Linked DNA regions of Rattus norvegicus. The protein of the gene in region 1 binds, or shares a complex with, the protein of each later gene. Links are inferred from orthologs where the notes say so. Each region holds a gene or a part of one and is shown on either strand. Other genes may lie near its edges.

The links.
Region 2: the proteins of Atp8b1 (region 1) and Tmem30b are in contact, whole or in part, in a cryo-EM structure (PDB 7VGH), measured with the Homo sapiens proteins. The link is inferred for Rattus norvegicus from reciprocal best matches to the Homo sapiens genes ATP8B1 and TMEM30B. Residues at the interface, in NP_001361314.1 of Homo sapiens: Trp362, Val366, Ser369, Ser370, Trp371, Tyr372, Leu373, Tyr374, Asp375, Gly376, Phe418, Trp421, Asp422, Leu423, Tyr426, Asp431, Pro433, His939, Trp942, Arg946, Tyr968, Phe971, Asn972, Gly973, Ser975, Ala976, Gln977, Leu1003, Gln1005, Phe1049; in NP_001017970.1 of Homo sapiens: Gly9, Ala10, His11, Gln12, Pro13, Asn15, Phe18, Thr19, Gln20, Gln21, Arg22, Leu23, Pro24, Ala25, Trp26, Gln27, Pro28, Leu30, Ser31, Ala32, Ala35, Leu38, Phe39, Phe46, Leu49, Leu53, Tyr109, Tyr111, Asn116, Phe117.

Annotation. Positions count from the first base shown.
Region 1 is NC_086036.1:60,366,348-60,370,656, reverse strand, and holds the start of Atp8b1 (phospholipid-transporting ATPase IC), read left to right. Parts: upstream 1-1,272; coding exon 1,273-1,453; intron 1,454-4,309. UniProt on the Homo sapiens protein: Catalytic component of a P4-ATPase flippase complex which catalyzes the hydrolysis of ATP coupled to the transport of phospholipids, in particular phosphatidylcholines (PC), from the outer to the inner leaflet of the plasma membrane.
Region 2 is NC_086024.1:97,987,609-97,992,215, forward strand, and holds the start of Tmem30b (cell cycle control protein 50B), read right to left. Parts: upstream 2,939-4,607; 5' UTR 2,881-2,938; coding exon 1,819-2,880; 3' UTR 1-1,818. UniProt on the Homo sapiens protein: Accessory component of a P4-ATPase flippase complex which catalyzes the hydrolysis of ATP coupled to the transport of aminophospholipids from the outer to the inner leaflet of various membranes and ensures the maintenance of asymmetric distribution of phospholipids.

The DNA.
Region 1 (4,309 bases):
CACTGGATCCCATTATAGATGGTTGTGAGCCACCATGTGGTTGCTGGGAATTGAACTCAGGACCTCTGGAAGAGCAGTCAGTGCTCTTACCTGCTGAGACAACTCTCCAGCCTCCTGTCACAAAGTTTTTTAATATTCCAGAGTCTTGGTTTTCTTTTCAGTAGAGAACAAGTAATGACACCTTCCTTGAATTGATAGGAAACTTTCAAAGGAGCAGTGTTGATGAAGCCCTTAGTCTGGGAGCTGGCACATAGCTAACACTGAATGGATGTGGGCTGCTGTTGCCCACAATACTCAGTACCGGGCAGACTGACACTTGGGTAAACAACAGCAGGCAGCATGACTGTCCTCAAGTAACCCAAGGAATTTGTGTAAATAGTTCTCCAATATAAATATAACTCCGGGCATCCGTGTTTCCACTGTGGAGTTACTTTATGCAACAGCATACCCTCAAACAAATTCTAGAGAGGGAGGGGGGATGGTGGTGGGAGGAGGACAAGAGGTGGAAGGAGTGTTTGCTCCTTGTTGCAAACTGATTAAAGGCTCAAAGTATTAGCGCTCTCGGGAAACAGTTCTCTTAAGGCAGCAGTGTTCCAGCTCTGTCTAAAGTGGGGAATACAATTCCACAAAAACATATTAATGTAATGTAAATAAATGTAGGCTTCTGGGTACCATAAAGCATTTTTTTAAACCAGAAAGTACTTATTGTTACTACATGAATCATGCTTTAATACTGTCTAGACTATTTCATTTTTATTTTAACATTGACCCTACTAAATTTATTAATTTATTATTTATTTGTAGAGATGGACAATTTGAAATATTACTCTCAAGGTTTGTGTGGCCTTCTAGAAAGACAGACTTGTGAGAGATTGAGTCTTATACTTACCTGTTTTTCTTTGCATGTGTTATATGTGGGTATGATATACAGGTACATGTGTGTCTGAGGGACATATTCATGTGAGGTACCAGAAGTAACAGTGGGTATCTTCCTTAGGTCCTTCTCCTGTGTAGCACACACTTATAAACTGAGCCTCTTTTTTCCCCTCAGTTCTGATCTAGTACTTAATCAATAGTGTTTTTGTTTTTCTTACATGTCATGCTAAACTTTTAGATCACTATTCTCGAATAATTTGCATTGTCAGTGGGACAATGTTCTGTGAAAGAGGTCTTCTGACAAGATGCAGCAAGATTCAGCCCAACACAGGAAAGTCACAATTCACTCTTGTTTCCCCCTTTTCTCTCCTCAGGTAGTTCCAATTTGCCAGCAGAATGAACACAGAAAGGGACTCGGAAACAACATTTGATGAGGATTCCCAGCCCAATGATGAAGTGGTTCCCTACAGTGATGATGAAACCGAAGACGAACTTGAAGACCAGGGGCCTGCAGTTGAACCAGAACAGAATCGTGTCAACAGAGAAGTCGAGAAAAAGAAAGAGACATTCCGGAAAGGTGACTGAGTGAAGGGCCTGCTGAGGGTGTGGTGTATGTGTGGATGCTCGACAGGGCAAGGGAAATGTACCAAAGTTGACTGGCCGATTCATGTGGTCTAGGAAGGTATCTTCCTCCTTTGATGTCTGTCTAGGGTGACACTGAGCAGGTACCCATCATCCCCAGTGGGGCAAGGGTGGGAGTGCATATCTGACAACTTCTGTCATAAAATCAGAAGGTTTGGTTAGTGCTGCAAAGGGAATTGTGTGTAGAAGAATTGGCTTGCTACTTCTGCACTCAGAAATCAAAAAAAGTATACATGCCAATCATAATAATAAATAGAATTTTATTGAAATGATTTGCATTACTAAATAGCCTAAGAACTAATGCAGATCTATTGATACCTGAGGCTGGGGAGGTAGCTCAGTGGGTGAGAGCACTTGCTGCATAACCATGAGGACCTGAGTTCAAGTCCACAGTACCCTTATAAAACAAAACAAAACTGAGTATGTCTACTCTCATGCCTATAGCCCTAGTTCAGCGATGGGCAGCGGGGCTGGGGGCTTTCTGACTGCTAGCTTAGCTCCAGATTCGGCAAGAGGCTTCGTCTCAGGGAAATAAGGCAAAGTGGTAGAGAAGGACACCTGATACCTTCCTCTGGCCTCTCTCTCTCTGAACACTTGTGCAAACACACCTGCAAATACAGTTGATCATGCACCATATACTCACGTGTCTACGTGGGTTGACTCACGTGCCCATAAATAGATCAACAAGAGCAATATCCACTCACAGTTTTTACACTGTGCTGAAATAAATGCACTTTGGGGAATATTCAACTATTCAACCAGTGGGTACTGCTCTTTGAAATTCGTCTTTCCCCTCTCATCAGAAGTCAGGACATCACACACTGAGGGAGGCAGCTTTCCAAAGAACTCTCAGAGGCCAGGACTCCTTGGAAGAGTGATATTGGAACATCACCTTGACTGTACCTGGGAATCAGGGCCTAATTCTGAGCTCTTGTTCTTTCTAATGCTTCCCTGTACTGTAGAGGACCTTGGAGCCTCCATACCTTTTGTTCAGTCACTCAGTGAATACAAAATGGCTCTGGTCCTCCGGAAAGAATTTTTGTTGGTTATGTTTGCGTGTTTACTTTAAAAATATTTGTATTAATTCTTTTGAGAATTTTATACGATGCGTTTTAATTAATTTACTCCCAATTCCTCCCTTTAATTCCTTCCAGATCCTCCACCACTTCCCTACCTGCTCAGTTTTGTTTCTCCTTTTTCTTTTAACTTAATAACCCAATAATTCCAACTCATGCTAGCCATATACTACTGGGCATGGGGCCATCCACGGGAGCATGGTCAATCAATCTACCAGGAATCATACACTTAAAGAAAACTGACTCTCCCTACCTCAGATCCGATAGCTGGAGCTCCTCCGTTAAGGGTAGGACTTAGAAACCCGTTTCCACTTCTTACTTGAATTTTGAAAGGCTTAACCCTGTACCAGCAGCTGCAACTGCTTGGAGTCTTTGAATGCCTTGGTCCTGTCCTGTCTAGAAGTCACGTTGTGCTCTGGTCTCCAACCTCTGGCTTTTACAGTCTTTCTGCCACCTCTTCCTTGATGATCCCTGAACTTTAGAGAGGAAATGATTATAGATGTCCCATTTGTGGCTGGGCACACATTACCGCATTTTGAACACTTGTGAATGTATGCACAGCCATTATATTAAAAAAAATCTTCTCTATTGGACTGAGAGAGCTACATTACACTATAGGTAAAGAGATACAGATTTAGAAAACAATTTCACTACTGTGCCAGCTAAGCAAAATAATAGTAACTTCATTCCTGTGGCCCACAAACTCCTCAACTGTTGGTTCTCGGCCTGCTTTGCAGTACCAAGCACGTTTCCATATGTGGAGGGAGGCTGAAAATTTGAGCAGAAAGTAGTTGGTTATTGGTACAGCATTCATGCCGCTATTATACAGACGGTCATCTCTTGCCATTCTGGCCATTATTACAACTCCAGAGTTCACAGCTGAGTAAGATTATCAACGGCTTTCCCCACCCAGCGGCCTTCAGAGCGCCTTCTAGTATTAAGAGAACTAGCCACCATAGAGGAGTCATGCTGTTAAGTCGCAACCTGGTTTCTCCATGTCCTCTAAGCTGTGTGTGTGTGTGTGTGTGTGTGTGTGTGTGTGTGTGTGTGTGTGTATGTGTTATCAGAAGAAGTTATTTTAATGGGTCTCTATTTGCCACGAGGGGCCAGTCTGCAGCAACCTATGCTTCTTGCCTGAGTCAGGCCCACTTCGGATGTAGCGTCTAAATGAGGAGCTTTTCACATGGAGGGACAGACAGGAAACATTTAAGGCTTTGCAGGCCATACGGTCCTTGTCAAAAGTGCTCTACCGTACCAATAAAACGGACACAGACAGTGGCTGCTTGGGCCACAGAACGTGGCTTATGTTCACCCTTATACCATCCTTGTGGACTTATTGGTTCCTGTTGCTTGCCCCACCCTGGCAAACAAATATGACTTTCTCTGTGGCTTGTCTGCTCCTGAGAAAACTGAATCTTTTCTCTTTAAACCCCAGGCTTGTCTAGAATTCAGGTTCATTTTTTTTCACTGGCTGTCCCAGATTCTAGCAGGAGGAATAGTACGTCCTTCCTGAGTGCCTCTCTGTGACTTCCAGCCCTCCAGATGATCTCCCCAGCTCAGCATTAGAACCACTGCTTTCCCAGAAGCCGCGCCTCCTGTTTAACCCTGCAGGGTAGCGTTACCACCCCTGTCACTCTCTGCCCAATACTTTCCATTTTGTGGTCTGCACCTAGTGAAACCTTTTTCCTCCCCTGAGCAGTTTGTACCTGTGGAGA
Region 2 (4,607 bases), on another chromosome or scaffold:
AAATGAAATATAGTTACCCTCAACTATATAGGGGGAAATGAAGCAAACGTCTTTACCTGACACAGAGGAGAGCTGATCAACCAAGCATCCATAATAAATAAAGCGTTCTGAAGTACAGTGTCACGTTCAGCTTACATAGTCAAGAATATCACAAGATGTGACCTGATATTAAATGTTATCACATTCGGAAGTCAGAAAGCCAACACATTGGAATTGCTAAAGAATTTCTTTGATATGCATAAAAGTTATTTTAAGTCACTTTTTAATCTTAGGCATGCTGTTCATCTAAAAATAAGTATTAACTAAAACAGAAGAATAGAATGAATGGAAATAATCACCGTAGCTCAACATCTGACAGCCATAAAACATACTCCAAGACCTGTGCTGCCTTCGAGGAATGAAAATACACCAGCAACCAGAAAATAACTGCACTAGGGAGTCAGCCCAGAGCACCCTGACAAATGCCAAGTAACTTTTCTTCAGGGAACCTGGAAGACAGTATCATGGAAAATTTTATTTTTAATTTTCTTTTAAATTATTGTTCCATAAAAGGGGGGGATGGTTTAAAATAAAAATGTCCCAATTGTCTCTGAGACTAGCTTTATATCAATTGTAGGCAATCAAATAAAATCAGCCCAGTAATTTTAACATTATCTTAAAGGCTAAAATAATCCCGAGTCTATTTTGCTTATAAGAATATATCTATCCCTCATCATTCTTAAACGTGATCACTAGAAATGCGTTTCATTTGAGAGTTGACACTGACTTAAGATAATTCTTTGTGAAAATAACACAAAGTTAACTAAATTATTCCCTTCAGCATCAAAAAAAAAAAAAAAAAAGACGATGATTCATTCAAAAGGGGGGGGGGGGTGAGAAGTCAGGCAGAAGTCGGTCCCTCAAGGTCCCAAGGAAACAGCTCCTCACCAAGATCATTTGCAGTCCGGTTTTTCAGGTTAAAACACTTCCCCCTGAGCCATGCAAACTGCGCTTGCATTTTCAAAGTTTTACACAGCCTCTTGTTAAGTTTGCTTTCACGTTTAATGACGCGCTTTGGCCCTGCAGATCTGCAGCTTCCTAGACCTAGCAATTTTTCTCACTTGTCCCATAAATTGCAAGCTTCCTTCCTATGCTCAAGAGCAAACACCAACACTATGATTGCCACCGTTCGTGGGAACAAATTATTACAGGAAAAACAGAGCTCAGGTGAGTACTTCAGGCCCAACCTGGGTCAGCATTCCCAAATTTAAGGGCACAGGGACTCCAGAGAAGCTTGCTCATCCTGGCCTTACTGTATCAGAACCTGAGGGGCCTGGCGCCTCTTCATCGACTTAGATTTTAACAAATGTGCTTTTCCCACTCCCCCAAGCTTCTGTAGGCCATCAGTGGACATAATTTTCCATCCCAACACTTCCCCACCCCATCCGGTATCTTCCTCCCAGAAAGCTGAGGGTGGCTGAAGCTTAGAGGGAGGAACAAAAGCTTAGATTCAGAATGGGATCCAACTGCTGGCTGTTGGTCTTAATGAGTTCCAATCCAGGAATCTTCCGTGTCCTTTGCCCTGGAATGCTGTAGACTTTAAGGACCTGCCATGTCCACCCGGTAAGCCACGGGGGAGATGGGCAGAAATGGCAAGATGTGTCACTCTGCAGTCCAAAACCTGAGAACAGTCCCGTATCTCTTAAGAGTGAGCGTGTAATTCCCTTCTTCAGGCCCTTCGTCCACAACAACAGATCAGTGAGCCTTAAGTTGTGTTAGGAGCAAAGGGCTACCACCGCTAAATGCGGCTTGGCCAAGAAGCAGGAAGGGGAGGCAAGATCACTCATCGTCATTGTCGTCGTCATCCTGGTCCTGGTAGCGAATGTAGACGACCAGCATGACAAAGCCCATGAGGATACAGAGGGAGCCGACGACCAGGTAGGCGATGCCCAGAAAAGGGTTCTTGCCACCCATCCATGAGATGTTGCTAAGGATGATAAGCTTGTGGCCGCCGAAGGCGCGCACGGGGTAGTTGTAGGTGATGTTGACCCGGTAAGTGCCCCGGGGAAGACCGGCCGAGTAGTTGCCCTGGCGGATGCGCGCATACAGCTTGCGGAACGTGGGCAGCGCTGCGGTGCGCATCCACACCACGAAGTCCTGGTTGATGAAGCCGGTGTTGTTGGGATCCGGGCTGAGCTCATAAACCGGCCGGTGCCAGTTGGGCGGCGGCGCCGTGCCCTTGAAGGCCAGCGCCAGGCTGCCGTTCACCAGCGGCGGGTTGCGGAACTTGACGTGGTAGTCAGTCCACCAGGCGATGGCGGTGCGGTCGAGCGGCACCTCGACGAAAGGGTCCGCGGGCTGGCGCTGGTGCCAGAGCGAGAAGGAATCGTTGAAGAGGCTGTTGGCAATGGCGCCGCACGGCGCGATGGGCAGGCCGTCGGAGCTGAACTGGTAGGGGGCGCACTCGTTGGCCGGGTGGCGCAGCGCGCTGGCCAGGCCGCTGAGCTGAGCGTCGTCGCGGGACACGCCGTAGCGCCGGTTGTTCTGGTAAAAGTTGGACAGCTCGTAGTAGAGGTACACGGGGCCCGGGAAGAGCTCGGGCAGCGTGAAGCTCCAGGAGCACTGGCAGCTGGGCGGCGGCGCGCGGTCCTGGCCCTTGGCGGCGCACACCGAGCAGTTGCCGGTGCCGGGGTTGCCGGTGTAGTCGTACTCCAGCTCCTGGATGCCGTTGGAGGAGTAGAAGAGGCCCAGTCCCAGGCCGATGAACGCCAGGCCGGCGCAGAAGAAGAGCGGCAGCGTGATGCCGGCCGACAGCAGCGGCTGCCAGGCGGGGAGGCGCTGCTGCGTGAAGGCGGTGTTGTCGGGCTGCTGCGCGCCCCGCGCCGAGGCGCTCCAGGTCATGGCGGGGTCTCAGCCGGGGCCTGCGGTGGGTGCTCAACCCGGGTCAGCGGCGGGCCTCCCGCCTCCACTCGCCGTCTCCGCTCGACGGCTGCTCCCCGGCCCCGCCTCCCGCCCGCGCAGGTGCGCCCGCCCCGCCCCCCACGCAGGTGAGGCTGAATCCCCGGCGCCCCGCCTCTGCCCCGGCTGCTCAGTTCCGCCACCGCCCGGGTGACCTGGGACTGGCTCCGCCCCTGCATGGCGCCCTTCCCAGGTGAGCAGGGCGAGGCTCCTCACCTCACCCGGCTCTGACTCTACAGTCCTCCCTTTCTGGCTCCTCCTCCTCCTCTCCCCTCCCCTCTCCTCCCCCTTCTCCCCTCTCTCCTACCCCCCTCCCAGTTCTCCCACTCCTGGGTGGGTGAGTGATGGGCTCTGAATGGGTCTTACCTTTGCTCGGGTTCCTTTTCTCTTCTACAGGGCCTGGGCAACTTCCCCCAAATCACAAGCCTGACTTAAACAAGAAAGTTCCACCCCAGAGCTTGCTTGCTCCAGGGTGGGGTTCTGTTGGCTTGATTATTTATTAGCTTGTTAAGGCTGTTAATCCTCCTTATTTAAGGAAAAGGGTGAGTCTTAAGTAGGGTTTCACTTAGTTTTCAAGCACAAATTATAGTGCCCTGGGTGTTACATTATGGTAACTGCATCAATTTCAACATGGAGTTCTTATTCTCCACTTTTTATTTAGGGCGGCATGGTGGTGGTGGGGGAGATGGGAGGGGTTAGTATTTTCTAGCCAGTTTCTCCAGTCTGGCTTGATAGCTATGAAAGGTGGAAAGTTCTGTAAAAAATAAAGTGATCTTTTAAGAAGAATCAAAGACTGGGAGAATTTGCAGCCTTGAATGTCTTCTCTAACTGTCTGGAGAAACTAGCAAGGAGGGGAAAAATCCCCGCTATGGACTACATCTGACGTTCTTTTCAGTTCTTCTGCTTGTCTAGAGAAAAGCCTGATTCACCCTCCACCTGGGTGGGGGGACGGTGCCGATATCCACAGTCAAGGACATTTACGTGTTGGCCCAAGTTGAACTAGGATTTATAAACTGTATAAAAACTCTAATTAGCCCGGGATTCGAGGGTTGGTTTGTTTGTTGTTTTTGTCTGTACATAGGTTAGAATACACAGAACATAGGGGACTCTGTATTAAATCTTCCTTAGGTACTGAAGTTCACCCCTCCAGCTCATATAGTGTAAATAAATGCTTTCTCTGTTATTCTTGCATACCTGTTCATGTATTGCACTCAGCACTCATCCAAAAATCCAAAGAGACTTGGAAAACTAAAAGAGTTGTTAAAAACAGTTTTAATGTTGTCCCTCCAAGTCTTCAGCCCTATGCTGAACAATGTAGAAGACAAGAGGCAATTAGACCAAAATAGAATCTTAGTACTCTAATAAGGCACTCTCTGGGCTGTTGTTGTTTGTTTGTTTGTACTAGAGTTATCTGAGAAGAAGGAACCACAACAGAGAAGATGTCTCCATAAGCCTGGCCTGAGGTGTGTTATTCTGATTAAGGATTGATGTGGGCAGCGCCACCTCTGGGCAGGAGGTCCTGGAGAACATTAGAAAGCAGGCTGAACAAGTCACAGGAAGCAAGCCAGTAAGCAGTGTTCCTGGTGACTTCTGTATCAGTTCCCACCTCCAGCTTCCTGCCCTGGGTTCTTTGGCAATGGACTGCGATGTGGAAACGTAGTCTGAAATAA